3 linked regions of the Diceros bicornis minor genome follow. The protein of the gene in region 1 purifies or fractionates together with the protein of each later gene. This does not show direct contact. Links are inferred from orthologs where the notes say so. Each region holds a gene or a part of one and is shown in the gene's direction. Other genes may lie near its edges.

What was found. The genes of interacting proteins can lie anywhere in the genome.
Region 2: the proteins of ACTL6A (region 1) and KAT5 purify together in Homo sapiens (affinity purification with mass spectrometry; 6 studies listed by BioGRID and IntAct, with this or other methods). This does not show direct contact. The link is inferred for Diceros bicornis minor from reciprocal best matches to the Homo sapiens genes ACTL6A and KAT5.
Region 3: the proteins of ACTL6A (region 1) and SMARCC1 fractionate together in Homo sapiens (co-fractionation; 8 studies listed by BioGRID and IntAct, with this or other methods). This does not show direct contact. The link is inferred for Diceros bicornis minor from reciprocal best matches to the Homo sapiens genes ACTL6A and SMARCC1.

What each region holds. Positions count from the first base shown.
Region 1 is NC_080754.1:43,459,468-43,466,417, reverse strand, and holds the start of ACTL6A (actin-like protein 6A), read left to right. Parts: upstream 1-3,869; 5' UTR 3,870-4,002; coding exon 4,003-4,027; intron 4,028-6,950.
Region 2 is NC_080770.1:7,514,399-7,522,051, reverse strand, and holds the start of KAT5 (histone acetyltransferase KAT5), read left to right. Parts: upstream 1-4,586; 5' UTR 4,587-4,781; coding exon 4,782-4,959; intron 4,960-5,283; coding exon 5,284-5,352; intron 5,353-5,443; coding exon 5,444-5,580; intron 5,581-5,840; coding exon of another isoform or gene 5,841-5,867; coding exon 5,868-6,023; intron 6,024-6,112; coding exon 6,113-6,187; intron 6,188-6,296; coding exon 6,297-6,371; intron 6,372-6,918; coding exon 6,919-7,167; intron 7,168-7,244; coding exon 7,245-7,334; intron 7,335-7,653. UniProt on the Homo sapiens protein: Catalytic subunit of the NuA4 histone acetyltransferase complex, a multiprotein complex involved in transcriptional activation of select genes principally by acetylation of nucleosomal histones H2A and H4.
Region 3 is NC_080741.1:49,080,707-49,087,838, reverse strand, and holds the start of SMARCC1 (SWI/SNF complex subunit SMARCC1), read left to right. Parts: upstream 1-4,065; 5' UTR 4,066-4,074; coding exon 4,075-4,272; intron 4,273-7,132. UniProt on the Homo sapiens protein: Involved in transcriptional activation and repression of select genes by chromatin remodeling (alteration of DNA-nucleosome topology).

The sequences.
Region 1 (6,950 bases):
TGCTTGCATGACTGTTATATTTTTGGAATGTCAGTACACAAAGGATAGTACTTGCAGTGACTCTTTACACACACACATCCACACAAAAATGTTTACATTGAAATTTGTTTTTCATAATTACTAATGTCATATTTTTTTGCAGCATGAAATAGAGTGATTCTAAATGTACACAAATTTTTGTGTCATTCTTCTTAATGATAATCCCCTGAATGTTTCCCAGCTGGCATTAATAACAGTTGCAATGTTTTTTCAACTCTGAACTTGATGAAGGCCAAGACAGAGGACAAGATCAGTAACATTTTGTAATGACTGCTGTGTTTCCACAATCTGAACAGAGCTGGTGAAAAGAGGAGGGGGCAGCATTACATGCATTCTAGTGCAGCGTTACAAGAATGGAAGACCAGCGACCCCGTGAGGCGAAACTAAGTGTTGCACTGCGTATACAGAGGAAATTCTTGATGCTGGAAGATTACAAAGGATTTCTGAAAGGGCACTTATTTTTATAGATCTGGATTCTGAGTCAACCACTGAGCATCTACTGGGGGCTAGATAGGTTTACATACATGTTACTTCAATATCTTTTATTTTTAGGTTGACAAACGGAATATGCTGGCTCCGGGAGGAAAGTAGCAAGCATTGATTGTTTTGGTATGTTATGCCCTTGAGAATTGACGCAGAGGCAGTAACCTTGAGTTGTTGTTGTTTTTAAATATGACTAGCTATCAGTAGCATTAATGTAGGCTTTACATTAATGAGCCAATAATGAGCCAAGACTTGGGAGAAAACATGTTAGGTTACAGAGGAGGAATATTAATACAAAAAAAACCACCCCTCAGATATTTTATATTTTATAAAGTAGATTCTGCTGGGTCAGTATTTTTCTTTTAAAATATTTTCTAGCATTTTTCCTAACTCTGAAGAATGGAAGAAAACAAGGTGCCATAGTATACGTCTTGCCTCAAAGGAAACATCACTGAGGATGCCAGTCCCCGACATTGTTCTCTTAGGATGCTGAATACGTTTCCTTTCTCAACAGTGTCTTCCTCCAGCAATTCAATACTTTAGGGTCAATAATCTTAGCGCCCTATTACATCTTTTGCTGATTAACATTTATGAGAGGTTTAAGTGTGCACTTTTATCTGCATTAACATGTGATTAGTCCTGACATATCAGATGTACTCTGAAGTTCATTTCATTTGAAGTTCATTTCAATGGTTTGTTATTAAATAAAGTAATGTGTTCAATAACACATCAAGAGAACAGCTGACCTGAAATTATGATTGAATGAATGATCTGTTTTCTAATATCTTTCCAAATTATCAAATGAAGCAAAACCCTTCCTTTAAGCAAAAATATTGAAGCCTGACTTTCCAGTCTTTTCTCAAGCTGTCTTCTTTGTGCTGTCAGACTGAAGATTCTCGGCACTCCAGTGTGTTCTCTGTGGGAGGAGTCAGTCGCAGCATCTCAAGCCTTCCTGAAGGCTAGGCGTGTGGTCCTCATTAACCCCACTGAACTGTTTTGTTTTCTGATGAACTCTGAACTAGTGGGACAAATGTTTTACTCTTTTTCAATCCAAATATATCTTATTTCTCCATGCACAGGAGATTTTGGAGATAGTACTGATGAGAGATATTAATACATATAATCTAAGTTGCTATATATGAATTACTATGCATTTAAATGGTAAATTGGTTTAAATGGATTACTGTGTATTATAAACACAAATAGTATCTCTTCAATATTTAATTATTACCAAAGTATCACATATTTTAGAACTCATCAGCTTTATTAGTCAAACACAACAAAAAAACATGGAGTGGAAGGGCCGGCCCTGTGGCCTAGTGGTTAAGTTTGGTGCACTCCACTTTGGCAGCCCAGGTTCAGTTTCCGGGTGTGGACCTAACACCACTTGTCAGTGGCCATGCTGTGGCAGCAACCCACATACAAAATAGAGGAAGACTGGCACAGATGTTAGGTCAGGGTGAATCTTCCTCAGCAAAAAGAGAAAAACCAAAAACATGAAGTGGAAATAGAAATATTTTGGGGGTTTGATATGTGCCTACAGTGAGAGCTATAATCATGGGGGCAACAGTTAACACAGAGCACTTGGTGCACTGTGCTGGACGTGTTATATGCATTATCTCAGGGTGGGTAATCGCTTTCTATAAGGGGTCCAATAGAAAATATGTTCTTCAACTTAGTGTGCCACATGGTCTCTGTCATAACTACTCAACTCTGCCCTTACAGAGCAACAGCAGCCATAAATGAATAAGCTTGGCTGTGTTCCAAGAAAACTTAGTTTATGGTCACTGAAATGTGAATTTCATATAATTTTCACATGTCACAAAATATTATCCTTAAAAACATTCTTAAAAACCATTTAGGGCCAGCCCCCGTGGCTTAGCAGTTAAGTACATGAGCTCTGCTGCTGGCGGCCCCGGTTTGGATCCTGGGCGTGCACCAACACACCGCTTGTCCCGCCACGCTGAGGCTGCAGCCCACATACAGCAACCAGAAGGATGTGTAGCTATGACATACAACTATGTACTGGGGCTTTGGGGGAAAAAAATAAATAAATAAAAATTATAAAAAAAAAAAACATTTAAAAATGGAATAACCATTCTTAGCTCCCAGGCCATAAAAAAACGGAAAGCAGGTTGGATTTGGCCCTGAGGCCATAGTTTGCTGACCTTTGCATTATGTCACTGGGTTAATGGGGATTTCCTAAATGATCAGATATACTGAGATTATATTATTAAATGAATGGAGGTTTTCTCACTAGCCTTGTTGCCCACCTTACTATCACTTTCTACTAGCTGCTGGCACCACGATGAATCCGGCTTTATTCAACTGTTCCTAGATTAAGATTAAGAGGAGCCTATACGGTATGTTTAGACTCTAGACAAACCATTTAAGAACTGCTATCAACAACAAGGATATACAACCAATCTTAAGGATTTGAGTTGGAGTGACATGACCAGATTTGGGTGTTTTTATAGATCAAGCTGCTGCCTGCCGCTGGCCAAGAGGCAAAGGGACAAGCCATTGTAGTCATCTAGCAGAGAGACACCGGTGATCTGGACTGGGCTGGGAGAAACGGGGAACTAAGAACAGTAGACAGACTGGGGATGTATTTAGGATTGGGTACTCGCTTGGATGATTGATTACACTGTTTTATGCCTGTCTCACAGGCTAAAATAAATTGATCACACCTTTAAAAATAATTTTTAAAGTGCTACCTAAATTTAGTTGGGATAGCGTATCATCCTTTTCTTCTTTTAATTATTAATAACCATTTTAAAAATTACAAGATCCTATCGGTTTGTCTGATTTACCGATTCCTCTTACCCCAAAATGGAGCATAACATTTCAGTTTCTTCAATACAAAAGTTAGTTGAAAACACTTTCTCTGAAAAAAAAAAATTCTGCATTCACCGCAATCCAAAACCAGGAATCACTGCGTGGAGACACTCTCTCTCAATTTCCTGACTCCGTTTTGCAGAGGTTCACCTTCGTCCACCAGATCCCCACTGGATTCCCATCTCTCCTCCTCGCCTCAGCCTTACCCTTGGGTCCGCCCCCGTCACTTCCCTCCCTCCTCCTCCCTCTCCCGCTCCCTCCACCCCACTCTCCCACCCACCTGGGAAGCTCCGCCCCCCTCCAGTTCCGCAACTCAACTCCTTTTCTCCTTCCGTCGCTTTCCCCTCTCCCCGCCCCCATGGCTGCCTTCGATTGGGTAAACTGGCTGTGCCGCGACAGGGATGCAGCACAGCCTCGTTCTGATTGGCTGAAGCGTAGCCGGTCCTCTAGTGATTGGCTGATAAGCGGAGACAGCAAGTGTGACTGCGCTCTGGGGCGTGTGGACGCTGCTTTGTTGCCGGAGCAGGGTAGCGGTGGAAGTTAAGGGGGTCGGGGGCTAGCGCTTCTCGGGGCCCACAGTCGCGGCCGTTGCAGTCACTTCGCCCGGTAGCCTGTAGCGTAGGAGTCGCGCCGAGAGCAGCCATGAGCGGCGGCGTGTACGGGGGAGGTGAGTGTGCGGCCGGACGAGAGAGCGCGCCTTTTTAACGTGTAGGGTTTGTAACCGCCGCCCCCAGCCCTCCCCTCCCCGGCGGCCCCTTCCGGTCTCCCCCTTTCGGGACCCCGGCCTCCCCGCCCCATCCCCGCCCCGCGCTCCGCCCGGCCCCGGAGCCCACCCGGCTCAGCGAGCGCCTCGGGCGCCCGGAGTCGCCGCCCCCTGCGGCTCCTTCCAGCCTCGCCCCCCGGAGGAGCAGGGGTTCGGGGGTGCGCGCCGCCTCGGGGCTGTGTTGGCAGCTCCATCCAGGGGGCCGGCCCGCTGAGCCCCGGCTTGAGTGACCGGCCCCAGGTCGCGTCTCTCCCAGTGTCTCCATCACTCGGCTGTCGGGGCGCGTGCGCGCGCGTTTAAACTTGGGAGGTCCCAGCACTTAGCAAGCGCGGACGGAGCGTTTCCGCGCCGTCCCGTAGACGGTAAAGCGAGCGCGGGAGGTGGAACTGGTCGGAGGAGCGGCGGCCACTGAGGACGCAGCCTTTTGTCCGTCCGCCCCCGGCTTCACACCTTCCAGTAACTTCTGCCTGTCTGTTGAGTGTGGCTTCTCCAGAGTTACTCGGGGGCGGGTTTGTTCGGATTAATTTAGGAACGCAAGTAATTTAAGGATGCTTTCCTTGGATAGGCAGTGGTGTGATAGACAGATTACTACGGGCCTGGGAGTTACACAGACGTGGTTGTAATACCAGCCTCCCCGTTTGTTTAGCGCTTTGGCCTCGGGCAAAGGCCAAGTTAAGTTACTTAACTTTTCCCAACTTGAGGCTCCTTATTTTTGGAATGATGGTTCCTACCCAGTGGGGTGGTTGCGAAGGTTAAGTGAGATGATGTTGGTCCATGGATCAACGGTGTCAGCATCACCTGCAAGCTTTTCGGAGATGCAGCATCTCAAGCCCATCTCGAAATCTACTGAATCAGAGCCTCCGGTTTTGCGAGATACCTAGATGAAGCACCGATGTATTTGATTCGTGTTTTGTGTTGTGTTTGATGAGTTACAGAACAAGGAGACAAATCCAAAGTGTTGCTTTTGTTATTGTGTCTAGTAAGGATACTGTTTCGGAAGAGGATGGCATTTTATAGGTAGGAGATAAAAATAAAGTTTTCAAAGTTGTTAGTAGTCTTTAGAGTGTAGCTTGAGTCTCTTCTGAGGTGAGATGCTGACGCTCACCCCCTCCTTCGCGTTAGTGTTCTTGGGTTTGATTTCTCAAATGTGAGAGTCAGTAGTTTCCCATTTTTACTTTGGAGAAAGCCTAGTGGATCTCCATGATTTCCCTCTTCCCCATCTGAGATGCAGTCCTGACAGAAAAACTGGATCTACGTGCCTTTGCCTCATGGGGGCCGTGGGCTCTACTGACCTGCAGGTTCCCTGATCCAAGCACCTAGAGGCTGTCTATTGAGTATTTCCTTACAAGGCCTTGTTTAATATGACTGAGGTAGAAATGGGTACGAATAATGCCAGCAGCTAACGTTTATTGATTGCATGCTGTGTACCAAGAACTGTTCCAGAGGCTTTTCATGGAATTTATTTAAAACATACATTAATTCAGTTAATCCACAACAACCGCAGGAGATGGTACTACTATTCCCATATTATTGAAGAAGAAAACGAGGTATAGAAAAGATCAAGTAACCAGTCCAAAGTTATATAACTTTCTAGTAAGTGGGGAGTAAGAATCTCTGGGAAGATGAAAAGGCATTTCAGTAAAACTGTTTCCCATTTAAAAAAAAAAGGTTTTTGGTTTCTCCATAGGTCATTTTTCAAGCTTTTAAATAGATTATAAAAGAAACCAATTATAATAAAATATAGTTCTATGCTTGGACTCCTTGGGGAGGCCAGAGACCCCGCTCCTAGTTTACCCTTTCTTAGGTAATCTGCTCCGCTCCTACAGCCCCAACTTCTATCTAAATATTAGTAATTCCAATCTCAAATCTCTCTCTCAAGCCCTCACCTTTGTCTAGAGCCATATCTCGGACTTCTTATGTACATCAACATCAGTTCCACCTGAAGTCCCATGGGTACCTCAAATTCGACATATCTGAAGCACTGTCTTCTTCTCCCTGTCCTGCCCAACCTGATCTCAGCAGGGCTTATTACAGTGAGTGTCCCCAGTCATCAGAGGCACAAACCTGAGAATCGTGAATGCCTTCATGTTTCATACCCTTCATCAAGTTCTGCCAAATATTTCTGCTAAATATTTCTTTTTTTTAAGTTTTTTTTCCCAGTTTTATTTATTTATTTTTTATTTTTTTGTGAGGAAGATCAGCCCTGAGCTAACATCCATGCTAATCCTCTTTTTGCTGAGGAAGACCAGCTCTGAGCTAACATCTATTGCCACTCCCCCTCCCCCCCCCCCCCCACAAAGCCCCAGTGGATAGTTGTATGTCATAGCTGCACATCCTTCTAGTTGCTGTATGTGGGACGCGGCCTCAGCATGGCTAGACAAGCGGTGCGTCGGTGCGCACCCGGGATCCGAACCCGGGCCGCCAGTAGTGGAGCGTGCGCACTTAACCACCAAGCCACGGGGCCAGCCCTCTGCTAAATATTTCTGAAATTCCTTCCTCTTAAACACCATTGCCACTGCCTTGATTCAGACTCTTAACAGGGAACTACTACAGTTCCCTACAGGTATTGTGCTTCTGTCTCTTCACCTTCTCAATCCACCTTTCAAACTGCTGCACTGTGATCTTTCAAAATTGTAACTGAACATTAAAATTGTAACTCTGAACATTTTGGTACATAAATCCTTCAATGAAAAGAAAGAGGAGAATCATTCAGTGGTTTCTCATCATCCACAAGATAAAATTCAAATCATTCTACCTAGTTGATATTCAAGGCCTAGCATAATGTGGCAGTAGTCTCACTTTCTATAGACTAGCATTACTGAATAAT
Region 2 (7,653 bases), on another chromosome or scaffold:
TACCAAGCCTTCAGCCTGGGACCCTCTGCCAAGCAGCCTGTACCCCCATTTTGAACTCAGCAAGCATTTCAATGGATTTGGATCTTATCAAGCATAACCGCAGCACGTGCATTTGGAAAACAGAAATCCACATTCATTTTTTCTGAAGGGACAATTAGTTCTTGGAATAAGGATTCTCCTCCTGCAGGATCTGAGACTCCCAGCTGGAGAAGTGCTGATCCCCAACAGGATCAGGCCCCCATCTTCTGGTCCGTGCCTGGCCCCTTTCTCTCACCATGCTTTTGGTCATACCTCAATCTTCAATCACCTCCGATCCTTGCTTTCAGGGCAGCAAGAACTTTCTAGCTGTCCTCAGCCTGCTACTCATGTCATGTTCCCAACAACCCTCATTCCCTGAGACAGCTTTTAAAGCTTTAATCAGATGCATTATTTTCCTGCTCCAAATTGTCCAATGGCTTCCCATTGCACTTAAAGCAAAATCTGACTTCCTTACAAAGATGCTATAAAGGGCCCCGTGATGGGGCCCTGCCAGCTCTCTGACTCCTGGATTATCATCCCCCCTCAGCCACACTGGCTTCTCTTTCCCGGAACATGCTGAACTTGACCTCTGTATTTGCCATTCCCTCTGCTTGGAACACTCCTCCCCCAGATCTTCTTAGGCTGTCCCTCCTCATCATTCAGGTCTCAGGTCACATGTCATCTGTTGCAGTGGCCATCCTGGCTGCCTCCCAACAGCTGCTCCATCCTCTCCCAGCTGCAGCCGCTGACTTGCCCCGGCTTCCGGGTGGGCCCTGGTTTGTCTAAACCAGTGGAATTCCATCCCCCTGGCCACAGGGATTGGCTGAGGCAGAGGCACATGCCCTAAAATGGTTCAATCTGAGGGAAGCCCAGGACTTTCTTTCCATAGCTGGGGAAGAGATTTTCTCCTCAGACACGTGTAGGCCACAGAGCTGTGGGCAGCTGTCCTGCGACCGTAGGAGGAGTCCACCTTAACGCAGAAGGAAGGTAGACCTGGGGAGGCGGGAGTGGAAAGACAGAAACTGTGTCTTGGTGACATTGTTGGGTCACGTGGACCAAGACATTCCCTCATTAAGCCAGTTGGAGCAGGGCATCCTGAGACTCTTAGCGGGCAGTGGGAATCTGATTGACATCCCTTAGAGAGGCCCACACGGACCAGCTCCTCACTCTCGGCCAGATCACACTGCTCATCATCGTCACCACACTTACCACCATCCAGAGGGATTACTTTTGCTTTGTTTTGTTAACTGTTCCTGTTCGTCCCACTAGAGCAGGGGCCTCATCTGTTTTCACTCAAGTTGCTCCTGCAGGGTGCAGCATACAGTTGGTGCTCAATTAATGCTGGTGCAAGACTGATGCCCTGTGCACCAGTTGTTTTTTTCTCCTCTTTTTCTCTCTTTGCTGTTGCTATCCTCACTTTCTGGAATGTCTGGCTCCCCGGCGAGACCACGTGCTTCATCCATTTGACAGTTTTTAACTGAACGCCTACTATGAGTTGGGCAGTATTCGAGAAGTTGTGAAAATAGGACTGGACCAAACAATATAAATACCATGTTCATGGATCTTACCTTCTAGTGAGGGAAAGACAGACAGTTAACAAGTGAATAAGGAAAATATGTGATTTGACAGCTAGGAATAAATGGTATGTAGGAAAACGAAGGGCAGGGGGAGGGAGATGCGGTGGGTGGGGGGTGGGCAGATTTAACTAGGGAGGTCAGAGGTGGCCTCACTGGGAAGGTGACATTTGAGCCAAGACTTGAATGAGGTGAGGGAGTAAGCCAAGTGGATAAATGGAGAGAAACGCTGCAGGTAGGAAACAGCAAAGGAGCAGAGAGAGGAAGATTCCTGTTATGTCCCAGACACTGGGAGGCCCGTGTGACTAGAATGTAGTGAGCGAGGGGGACAAAAGGAGAAGCAGAGGCAGTGGCAACAGGGGCTGGATCCATATACAGATTTTGGCTTTTACTCTGAGTAAATGACAAACCATTAGTGGATTCTGATCATCAGAGTGACATGGTTTGAATTATATTTTTTAACAATTCCTCTTGCTTCTATGTATGAGGCTATTGCAACAGTTCTGAGGAGAGACGGTGGTAGCTTGCACCACAGTAGTAGTGGCGAAGGCCGAAGAAGCGACGGAGCCTGGAGTATCTGCCGCCTGGTTGAATGTGAGAGAAGCAGAGAAGTCACAGCACTTCAAGGTTTCTGGTCTGAGAAACTGATAGGGACAAGAAAGATGGTGGGAGGAGCAGGTTGGGAAGGAAAATTAGGAGTTTGGTTTTGGACAAGCCCTCTAGACATCCGCATAGAGATGCTGAGTGGACAGTGAGAGCTGAGTTCAGGGAAGAGATCCAGGCTGAAGATACAAATTTGAAAAACCTTGGCATGTGGATGATATTTAAAGCCAGGGTATCATGCCTCCAGGGTATCATGAATGGACTGAGAGTGGATACAGAGATGAAGTCCAGGACTGAACATCTGGGATTTCTGGGATTTCTGAATGTTTAGAGGTCACGGACAGGAAGAGGAACCAGCAAAGGAGACAAAGAGCAGCTAAGGAAGTTGGAAGGAAACTGTAAGGAGGGGCCAGTATCCTGGAAGCCAGGAAAAGTGTGTTTCAAGGAAGAGGGAGTGACCAACCATGCCAAATGCCACTGATAAGAGGGCTGAGAAGTGGCATTTGATTAACAATGTGCAGGTCACTGGTGACTTTGACAAGGGGGCGGGGACTGAAACTTTGCTAACTGCCATACATAGCAGGCCCTGCATGAACATGTACTGACTGTTATCAGTGAATGGCCGATCTCAACAGCCTTCCGATTGGTCCTGTTCTGGTCTTATCTCCTTCAATCCAAGGACACTGACACGAGGGTGATCTTTCTAAAATGCAGATATAGTCATTCCCCACTTAGATCTTCAACGCAAACCATGCTGGGATGAATATGTGGAAAGTTGTGTATATAAGGATGCTTTTTATAATTTTTTATTTATTTTTTTCCCCCAAAGCCCCAGTAGATAGTTGTATGTCATAGTTGCACATTTTTCTAGTTGCTGTATGTGGGACGCGGTCTCAGCATGGCCGGAGAAGCCATGCGTCGGTGCGAACCCGGGATCCGAACCCGGGCCGCCAGCAGTGGAGTGCACACACATAACCGCTAAGCCATGGGGCCGGCCCTAAGGATGCTCTTTATGGCACTGTTTGTAGGAGGAGAAAATTGGAAATAACGAATATTCGACAACAGGAAATTGGTAATGGCAGCCAGGGTGCATCTAAACAATAAACATTATGTAGCCATTAAAACAGTGCTATAGAATATTTAGTGACGAGTGTTCAATTTATGTTGCTAAGTGAACAAGCTGGTCACAGAACAGTACACACAGTAAGAGCTTCTGTTTTATTAAACAGACAGCACAACAGTCTATAAAGCAAGGGTTGGCAAACATTTCCTGTAAAGGACCAGACAGTAAATATTTTAGGCTTTGTGGGCCATATCTCCTGCACGATTATTGTTTTAATATGAAAGGACTCATAGACAAAATGTAAATGAGGGGGTAGCTCCAATAAAACTTTATTTATGGACGTAGAAATTTGAATTTCATAATCTTCAGGTGTCACAAAATATTCTTTTGATTTTTCCCCAACCGTTAAAAATCATAAAAACCATTATTAGCCCATTGACTGCAGGAAAACCAGCAGAGGGTTGGATTCTGCCTGCAGGCCATAGTTTGCCCACCCCTAGTCTAAGAGACACTCAACCAAAATATTCCCTGTGGACACGTCCCCTGATGATCTGAGGTTATACTTTTCTCCCCTTACTGTGGTCTGTTTTTCTGGAACAATTTCCCCGCAGGTAACTGCACAGTTCATCCCTTCACCTCTCTAAACCTTTGCTCAACTAACACACTTCCATCCAGGTCTGCCCTGAGCACCCTACTCAAAATTGCCATCTACCTACCCATCTCCCTTAATTTCCGCATTTTTTTTTTTGTTTCCCATAACACTTATCACTCTTTAATAAACTAAATAATTTACTTTTTAATATATTTATTGTTTATTATCTATATCCCTCTTTTTCCTCCAACCCCCAAGAATGTAAGCTCCATGACAGCAGGCTTCTTTATTCACTGATGTGTTCCAGGCTCCTAGAATAGCGCCTGGCACATGGTAGGGGACCATTAAACATTTGTTGAACGTTATGAATGACGTCACACTACTTTTAAAATTAGAAACCCAATATACAAAACAGCAAACCTAGAAATCTTCCGTGAGTCTCCATCCCTAAGAAATGAAGTCCATAAACTTGGCCAGGTACTGAGGTCCCTTCCCAGTCCCGCCCACCTCCCCAGCCTCCCAAACCCTCCAGACCCGCCCCCCGCCGAGCACGCGCAGTTCACTCCCGGCGAGACCTCCCAGTGCCACTAGGAGACGCCCGAGCTCGGCCGCCCCCAAAGCACAAACACTAGTCGCACGTGACCCGCAGCGACGTGACCGGCGTCGCACTTGGTGGGCGTCACGTGACGGACTCAGCTTTCCTCCAATCGCTATGCACGTTATGGGGATTCCACCCAAGACCCGGCCCGAGACTTAAAACACCCCATTCTCCCGCCACCCAGGCAGACCGGCTCCCTGCTTCCACCTGGGCGGCGGTGTCTCCCAAGGGTCCTCTTCCAAAGCGTCTTTGGGAGGCCGAGGCCTACAGCGCGCTCAGTCCCGGAAGTGACGTCTCCCAGAGGGGCCGGAAGTGGCAGTGGAGGGAGGGAAGATGGCGGAGGTGGTGAGTCCGGTGCCCGGGGCGGGGCGGAGGGAGCCAGGGGAGGTGGGTAGAGCCCGAGGCCCCCCAGTAGCCGACCCTGGCGCCGCGCTGTCTCCCCAGGGGGAGATAATCGAGGGCTGTCGCCTGCCCGTGCTGCGGCGGAACCAGGACAACGAAGATGAGTGGCGTGAGTGACGTCGGGTGGGCGGGGCTAAGGAACCTAAGGGCGAGGGGCGGGAGAGAGTCAACCGAACCCTCGGGAGGGGGAGGGGCCTCTAGAATCCTGGGGCGGGCGGGGCGCAGATACTCAGGAGGGGCGTGCCTTTTAGCTCCGGGATGGACAGGGCGGGGCTTGGAGAGAGGGCGGCACTTGGTGACTAACGGGGGCTTGGGCGAGAGCTTCCAAGTGCTGGGGCTTAGAGATTCGGCCTGGGGGTGGAGTTCAGGTCGTAGGAGGGTGGAGCATTATGGCCAGGCCTGTCTAAGGCCGCCGTCTGTGCTGTTCCCACAGCCCTGGCCGAGATCCTGAGCGTGAAGGACATCAGTGGCCGGAAGCTTTTCTACGTCCATTACATTGACTGTGAGTTCTGGGCTGCAGTGAGGCGGGGCTGCAGGGTAGGGTTGGGGGGCAGCTTCTGGCATTCCCTCCTGAGCCATCCCCACTGCTGCAGTCAACAAACGCCTGGATGAATGGGTGACCCACGAGCGGCTGGACCTAAAGAAGATCCAGTTCCCCAAGAAGGAGGCCAAGACCCCCACCAAGAACGGACTTCCTGGGTCCCGCCCCGGCTCTCCAGAGAGAGAGGTGGTGAGTAGGTCCCCTGCTTCACCTCTTCTCTTCTGCCTCCTACTTCTCTCATCTCTTGGCCTCAGTGGCTCCTGGATGGGCAGGAGGCAGTGCTCTCCCACCCTGGCTTCAGCTGGCAAAGGACAGGGGCCAAATTACAGATGTAGCTTCGAGTCCAGTGGCTCTTCCTATGTCCTTGAGAGGGCAGAGGGTGGGGTTTAATCATTTCACGCTGAGGGGCCCCTACTCCCTTTTCCATCCCACCGCCAACCCCACCCCAGAGGAAGACCCTGGACCTATCTCTACAGCCGGCCTCCGCCCAGGCCAGCGGGAAGACCTTGCCAATCCCGGTCCAGATCACACTCCGCTTCAACCTGCCCAAGGAGCGGGAGGCCATTCCCGGTGGCGAGCCCGACCAGCCGCTCTCCTCCAGCTCCTGCCTGCAGCCCAACCACCGCTCAACGGTACCCTCAGCAATTCCAGGGACCTTGCTTTCCTCTCAGGTCCCACCTTCTCTACCTTCTGACCCACCTTTCTTGGTTTCTCTCTACAGAAACGGAAGGTGGAGGTGGTTTCACCAGCAACTCCAGTGCCCAGCGAGACAGCCCCGACCTCAGTGTTTCCCCAGGTGAGTCCCCCAAACCATCTCTTCTCCCCTGCCTTTCTTCTGCCCTCTGGTGGCCCCTTTCAGGCTCATCTCACAGCCACTCTTTCTCTTCTTACCATCTTGCCTGCAGAATGGATCAGCCCGTAGGGCAGTGGCAGCTCAGCCTGGACGGAAGCGCAAATCGAATTGCTTGGGCACTGATGAGGTGGGTCTGGGGAAGAGAGAAGCTGTGTGAAAAGTGGAGGACACAGGCAGGGTGGAGTGTTTAGTGACTAGTTTAAAAATAAACAAGGGGTGGTGGGCAACTACGGTATTGGTGGGAATAAGAACCAGGCAGATGGGGCTAGCCCAGTGGCCTAGTGGTTAAGTTCAGTATGCTCCGCTTCAGCGGCCCGGGTTTGGTTCTGGAGTGTGGACCTACACCACTCGTTGGTGGCCATGCTGTGGCAGTGACTCACATACAAAATAGAGGAAGATTGGCACAGATGTTAGCTCAGGGCAAATTTTGCTCAGCAAAAAAAAAAGAACCAGCCAGAGCTCGTTCAGATCAGGCATTGGGTGATCTTTTCCAAGTTTTGAATGAAAACTTCCCAAGTCTTAGTTTGTTTATCTGGAAAGGGGACTGTACTACCTCTGCCATAGGGTTGCTGTTAGGCTTGAATAAGGAAACCGCTGGGAGGGCTGTGTGAGCTGTAAAGTGTCCTGCTTGAGTTGTCTCCTGTAATCTAGTATCTTCCACTGGCCCTGGACAGGACTCCCAGGACAGCTCAGATGGAATACCGTCGGCTCCGCGCATGACCGGGAGCTTGGTGTCTGACCGAAGCCACGACGACATCGTCACCCGGATGAAGAACATTGAGTGTATTGAGCTGGGCCGGCACCGCCTCAAGCCGTGGTACTTCTCCCCGTATCCGCAGGAGCTCACCACGCTGCCTGTCCTCTACCTTTGCGAGTTCTGTCTCAAATACGGCCGGAGCCTCAAGTGTTTGCAGCGTCACTTGGTATGAGGCGTCCTACAAGGCTGCCCTCCTAGCACCCCCCACCCTCCCTCCACCCCTGATCCCCCTCTCTTTCTCAGACCAAGTGTGACCTGCGACATCCTCCAGGCAACGAGATCTACCGCAAGGGCACCATCTCCTTCTTTGAGATCGATGGACGTAAGAACAAGGTAGGGGCTGAGGGGCACCGGGCACTGGGGAAATCAAATGGGCAGCTTCTTCCTGCTCAGGAAAACACTAACTGGCCTGGCCAGCAGAGCAGTTCTCCCCATTTTTATTGAGTTCCTGCTATAGGGCAGGTGCTGGGAGGTACAGAGACAACCAGGAATTCAACAGAATCTCTGCTCTCTGGGATCTCACAGTCCGTGGGGAAAAGACATGCCAACAGCCACTTAGGTGCCAGTGTGCTAAGTGTCATAAACAAAGGGTGGGTTATCAGGACCCAGGGGAGGTGGTCACCAGAGCTTCACATAGGAGGTGACCTTTGAG
Region 3 (7,132 bases), on another chromosome or scaffold:
CTTAATGTTTTGATAAATGAATTTAAAGGCCATGGAATAATTGTAATTTTCCCCATTGATTATTAGCTTTGCTTTGCACAGTTTCTGCTTGCACAGTCTTTTTTTTTTTTTTTTTTTTGGTAAGAAAGATTAGCCCTGAGCTAACATCTGTTGCCAATCCTCCTCTTTTTGCTGAGGAAGATTGGCCCTGGGCTAACATCCGTGCCCATCTTCCTCTACTTTATATGTGGGATGCTGCTGCAGCATGGCTTGGTAAGTGGTGCATAGGTCTGCGCCTGGGATCTGAACCTGTGAACCCCGGGCCACTGAAGTGGAGCATGCAAACTTAACCACTATGCCACTGGGCCAGCCCCTTGCACAGTCATTTTTATGGTATTGCACTCCTGTGCAAAGAGAGAACTCTCTGTATTCTACTATGACCACCAAATTATTACATATTTAGACTTCATTAGGTTTTTTTGTGTGTGTGTGAGGAAGATCAGCCCTGAGCTAACATCCATGCCAATCCTCCTCTTTTTTTGCTGAGGAAGGCTGGCCCTGAGCTAACATCCATGCCGATCTTCCTCCACTTTATGTGGGATGCCGCCACAGCATGGCCTGACAAGCAGTGTGTCGGTGTGCACCCGGGATCCGAACCTGGGCCGCCAGCAGCAGAGCGCGCGCACTTAATCGCTACGCCACGGGTCCGGCCCCTAGACTTCATTAGGTTTAAGAGTGATGTCTTCTTGCTTTTCCTATTCCCCTACCATCTCTTCCCAAACAATTCAGTCCTAAAGTCATTAGGTGGAGTGAACAAGGTAGATATAAGCATATTAGGACAGCTTAGCATGGGATTGTAGGAGCCAAGAAGAGTGGAGGGTACCTCTATGGGAGGGTAGTCCAGCATGGAGATTGGTTACATATAGGTGAACTGATAAAATAAGTAAATATAGTAAGGATAATGGCAGCCAGATTTCTCCTTGTTAGAGAAGTTACAAATATGCATTCAGTCAAGTTTTGAACCATTTGATAAAAATGTTAAATGGTCTGATAAAAATAAATGGGAAGTTTGAAGAGGAATGGGATATTTACATACTTTCAAAATACCTCCCCAGAAAAATAGTAATTAATCACAAAGGCAAAAAGAATAATTTCATAGTAGAGAAACCTGGCAGATACTCTCTTCATCAAGTCATCTAAGTAATGGAAGAAATGAAATCATGCACCATTTGATTGTATGCAATGAAAAGAACACAGCATAAACAACATCAGCCAAACTCAAGCTGAGGGACATTCTACAAAATAACTGGCTTGTATTCTTCAAAGTTGTCAATGGGGTGCAAGTTAAAGACTGAGGAACTGTTCCAGATTGAAGGAGACTTGAAACTTGATCTAATGCAATGCCTGATTCTGAACAAACTTTGGTATAAGGGGACCTTATAGGGGCAAGAAGAAAACTCGAAAGGGATCTGAGGATAGTATTAGTTAATTTCCTGGTGTTGATGGTTTTGTTATGATTATGTAAGAGGTTATACCTGTCTGTAGGAAATACTAACATTTTTGAGAGCGATGGACATGATTGTCAGCAATATACTCACATATGGTTCAGGAAAAGAAAAAGTTCTTTTTACTGTAGTTGCAACTTTTTTGTAAGTTTGAGATTATTTCAAAATAAAAACTTAAAAAAGTGATGGAACCATTTCATTTAAAAATGTCCATCTTGAGCCAGCCCTGATAGCCTAGTGGTTCACGTTTGCCACTCTCACCACTTTGTCCACTCAGGTTTGGTTCCCGGTTGCGGAACCACACCACCTGTCTATCAGTTGCCATGCTGTGGTGGCAGCTCACATAAAAGAACTAGAAGGACTTACAACTAGGTTATACAACCATGCACTGGGGCATTGGGGAGGGGAAAAAAAAGAGGAAGATTGGCAACAGATCTTCGCTCAGGGTGGATCTTTCCCTGCCAAAAAACAAAAGTCCGTCTTTATTAATATGCTCTTCAAGTATTTTTTTTCTTTGTGAGGAAGATCAGCCCTGAGCTAACATCTGTTGCCAATCCTCCTCTTTTTGCTAAGGAAGACTGGCCCTAGGCTAACATCCGTGCCCATCTTCCTCCAGTTTATATGGGACGCAGCCACAGCACGGCTTGACGAGCGGTGCGTCAGTGAGAGCCGTGGATCCGAACCCTGGCCGCCGCAGCCTAGTGTGCACACTTAACCGATATGCCACCGGGCCGGGCCCTTCAACTATTTAATTTTTGATGAAAAATTTTAGATGTTTTTCTAAAAGAAGAAAGTATATCGTTTTCCAAATTATTTTAGAATTTTTTTGAACAAAAATGTTGGAACACCACCCTGGAGGATCTAATGGCTCCAGAAAATGAAATAGCTTTCTGAACTCTTCCAGTGTGGTTTCTTTGCTCTACTCACACACTATTAGTAGAAAACATTGTCCTTGGGAAGAGAGGGGAATAGTACTCCAGGATCTAATTCCTGAGTTCAAAAACCTGACTCTAATATATATTTGCTAGCCAGTTACTTGACCTCTCTCTGCCTCAATTTTCTTATCTGCAGTAATGTAGGTGTACTCAGCACAGAGCATGGCACAGTGTTCCATGACACCCGCTATTATCATTATTTCTGAAGTCTGAGCTCTTAGAGGGCAAGATCCATATCTTACTTACATTCTCATTGTTTCTGTCCTAGACTGTTACCAGTTCATCTTTTCTCTATTCTTTCTTCCTCCTATCATTCACACTGCTGCAATTATCTTCGTAATCTATAAATCTGATCATGTCATTCTCTCTGTTCAAGATGGTTTCTCAATGCTTACAGGATAAAGTCAAAATCATTGCCACAACCAAGTAACATCTCTGCTTCCATCCCATGGTCTTATGGAGAGTTGCACCAAGCATGCTTTCACACTTGCGCATTACCCTTTGTTCCACTTGTTTTCATGTGTGTGAAATGTCCTTTCCTCCCTGATCACATTCTGTTCACTCTTAAAAGTTGGTCTCAAAAACTCACCAGGCTTTCTCACAAGCAATTAGTCACGTGCTGTTCTGGGGTCATATAGCATTATGTTCATAACTTCATAATTGGCAATCATATTTCGTTAATAATTTATAACCTTTCTGCCTGTGTACGTCATCCATTCATTCATCAAATATTTATTGAACATGTATTAGATAACAGGCCCTGTTCCCAGCACTGAGGGTACGTCTGTGAACAAGTCAAGACTAAGTTCTCATTTAATTTATGTGGACGATAAGTAAGAAAAGAAAAATACTAGGTCGTGGTAAGTGCTACATAGAGAATGTCCAGTGAGTATGACTACCTGTTCAAGATTGTATGGTCAGGGTTTGCTTTTCTAAAGTACCTTTAAGCTATGAATTTGAAAGCGCCTAAGTGACAATTAGAGGGGAAGAGCTGTCCAGGTCGCGGGAACAGCTGGCGCGATGGCTCCGAGGCAGGAATGAGCTGGTGCGGCTAGAGCCATGAGGGGCAGAAAGGCTGTGAGGCCGAAGAAGCTCCGAGTGGTAGTCCCAGGTGAGTGACTACAAAGGCTGACACGGCCACTTTGTGTAGAAGGTATGGGTAAGCGAGGGCAGGCGCACATTCCCACCCGCTCGCGGGTTCCTCTGCCGCCACTCGACACCCTAAACGGGCTTTCTCTCTGGAACTTCTCACACCAGCCCTTTTCTCTCCGGCAGTGGCAGCCGATGACAGGGAACCTCCATGCAGTTGTTGACCGCCAACGATCCGACGCAGGAACCCCGGAAACAGCCAGACGCGCAGAGGCGGAGGCTCGGCAGCGGAGAGGTCGAGCAAGCCGCCGCAGATGGCGGAAGAGGCGGGTGGAGGCGCTCCCCCGAGGCCCGCCTGGCGCGAGCACTGCGCATGCGTGTGCGCGTGCCCTCGTCGGTTAGGGCGCCGGTCCCGAGAGGGGGCGGGGTCGGGCCTCCGCGCCGGAAGGGGGTTGGCTGGGCGGGGCCGGGAAGCGGCGGTGGCAGCTGCGCGCGCGCGCGGGTGCGAACGGGGAACGCGGCGAGGGCCGGGGTGGGCTGGGTGGTGGGGACGGCGGACGGCGAGAATGGCCGCGGCGGTGGGCGGCGGCGGGCTGGGGGCGGCGGCAGGCGCTGCGGGTGCGGGAGGCGCAGCGGCGGCGGCCGCAGGCCTGGCCGTCTATCGGCGGAAGGACGGGGGCCCGGCCAGCAAGTTTTGGGAGAGCCCGGAGACGGTGTCCCAGCTGGATGCGGTGCGGGTCTGGCTGGGCAAGCACTACAAGAAGGTGGGTTCGCGCGCCCGTGGGAGCCGGGAGGCCACGCGACGGGGCCCGGGGGCGGCTACTGGCCTCGCGGGCCTCCGGCCGCCCTTCCCCCCGCGCGCCACGAGGGACAACAAAGGCCGGCGCGGGGCCCGCCACGCCCCCGCCGTCCGCTTTGGGCGCCCGCGGCCCGGGGCTCCCCGGAGCTCCCGCGGCTCGTCTCCTTGGAGCCCACGCACCCCGGGCGAAAGCCCCTGCTCACCCCAGTATGTAGGAACAGGTCGACCTCAGCAACCCGGAGGCTCGGAATCTTTCTCTTTTGTTAGCTGCATTAGGTGTGTGAACAGTGATTATTAAAAACTGTCTGAGCCGGAGCTGTAAAAGCAGCTTCAAGTTTGTTTAGAGACTAGTCTTCGAAGTCAGGTAAGCTAAGATTTTACTACCTGTTATTGATTTGCTAAAGGACTGTGAACGATTGTACTTGGAAGTTAATAACAGCAAGTTAATATAATGAATTATAGTATTGATGAGAGCTAATATTATAAAGCGACGGTTTTTACTTCATAGTACTTTTGGTTATGATTGGTGATAGTAGAAGAGTTAGTGTTCACTTGTACCTGATGTGTTTCTCAGGCCTTCCCTGAGAACCCCATTTATAGTAGATCACCCCACTTCATATCACCTTTATTTTCTTTGTACCACTTTTTGAGATTATTTTTGCTTTATCTGTTTCTCCTACCTTTGGAATGTAAGTTCTGCTGAGTCAGTGGTATTGAAAGTTGTGACTTAACCTCTTGTTTATAACAAATGTTTCTTAACTTCCTCTTCATGTAAATATTTAGGAATGACTCCCTTAGAAGGTGTAATGAAGCAGACAGCCGAAAATACTTCCCTCTGCCCCCAAATTTCTGGAACACCCTTTTCAGTTCTGTGCTTCCCCCATTGAAGACGGTGGCACTGGGACAGGGACCTTGTCAGGCCTGTTCACTACAATGTGTCTTGGAACATGGTTGGTACTCATTGCCTCGCCCTTAGTAGTTGCTTTGTAAATATTTGTTGAATGAATGAAAAGGTAATGTACTCTAGGAACCTGTTCATTTGGGGTCTGCAGTTCAGTGAAGCCTGCCAACTTTTGGAAGTAGACAAGGACAGGAATCTTAGGTTCCTTTGACATTACACTTTAAGAAATGACTATTCTTACCTGAAGTTTTAGGAAGTGAGAGACAACATATATTTTTACTTACGATGTATTTTTAGATGCTTTGACTTTTTTCCCCCTGAAATTTTGGAGTCACATTTGGGACTGTAGACTTTTCTCCTCTACATGTAAGTAGACAGGAATATTGCTCTTCCTTGTACAGTGATATATTGGTCACTTTTTTGTGTAGGCAGTAGAGCTTCTGGAAGTGGCTAAGGGACTTGAATATATTTATATTCTAAAAGTATTAATTATTTTTTGTCAAGTGCCTTTCAGCCAATGCTTTGGGTCTTAAATTCAATGTACTTTAATGTAGTTTTTTTATTCCCCCAGTCTGGATTTTTTTCCCCTGCTTTTATTGAGATATAATTGACATGTAATATTGTATTACTTTATCAATATAGCTTTAACAAAGAAAAATACTCAGGAGTAATATTCCTTTGGATATCAAGGAATGGAAAAGAAAAAGGAAATAATAGTCATTTCTATCTCTCCAAACTCCGTGTGCATCTCTTTGGGCCCAGTTTTTTAAGAGGTCAGCTTTAGGCTTGGATAAGCCTTCCGAGATTTGTTTGGGTGGGTGAAGAAGTGGCTGTGAGGCTGACTGAGGGATATGTTCCAGAGTGTTGAAGCCAGTAGGCTAATCTTGGCTTAGTGTCGCTAAGGCCTTAAAGACAAAGTTAGGTTTGACTTCTCAGGGTTTCATAAAGCCAGAGTATATTTCTTGGGCCTACTCAAATTCAGAATTGTATATCCCTTAAGTCTGGCAGCTAGAATCCTGTCAGCCTCTGAGAGTGGTGTTGGAGTGGTGAAAGTATTAACCAGAAGTTTCTTTGCTTCTTTTGTACACAGTATATCTCTACTTGGTGTACAGATTGATGGGTTTTAAATTTTATTTATTTATTTATTTTTCCTCCAAAGCCCCAGTAGATAGTTGTATGTCATAGTTGCACATTCTTCTAGTTGCTGTATGTGGGACGCGGCCTCAGCGTGGCTGGAGAAGCAGTGTGTCTGTGTGCACCCGGGATCCGAACCCGGGCCACCTGCATCGGAGCGCACGCACTTAACCGCTAAGCCACGGGGCCGGCCCGAGATTGATGGGTTTTAACTAAACTTTTCTATTGCATCTAATACTTCATTTTCAGAATCATACATCTCAGCGACCATATGAAAGAAACATGACGTTGGCAGTCGCATTTTTTTTGATGGGTTTGTCCATACATTTCATGAGCAACTGAACATCTCCCATATCTGGGCACTTAAAGCATAATTCAAATCCTCACCACAGTCCTGAATAATATTATATTGATATTGTTTGATATCAATTTGGTATTTGGTATTGATATTATTTCCTGAATAGATGTTATTTACTTCATTTTACACGTGAGAGGAACCTGAGGCTCCAGATTTAAGTAACTTCTCTAAGATTACAGTTAGGAGTGGTAGATACGGGGTTAGATGAAGGTCTGTCTAGCTCCAAACCCCAATTTTTTTTTTTTATTGCTACACATAATCTCTCTCTTTAAGGAAGTCACAATGTGGTGGAAAAGATAGATATAGACACTTACTTGTAAAATCCAGGTCATCTCAGATTAAAAGAGAACTTCTTTGTATTGTTTTCTAAATGCTCTTAGTAGGTGCTCAGCAAATATTTGCTCAATGAGTGAACAGATTAATTAGTCTAGG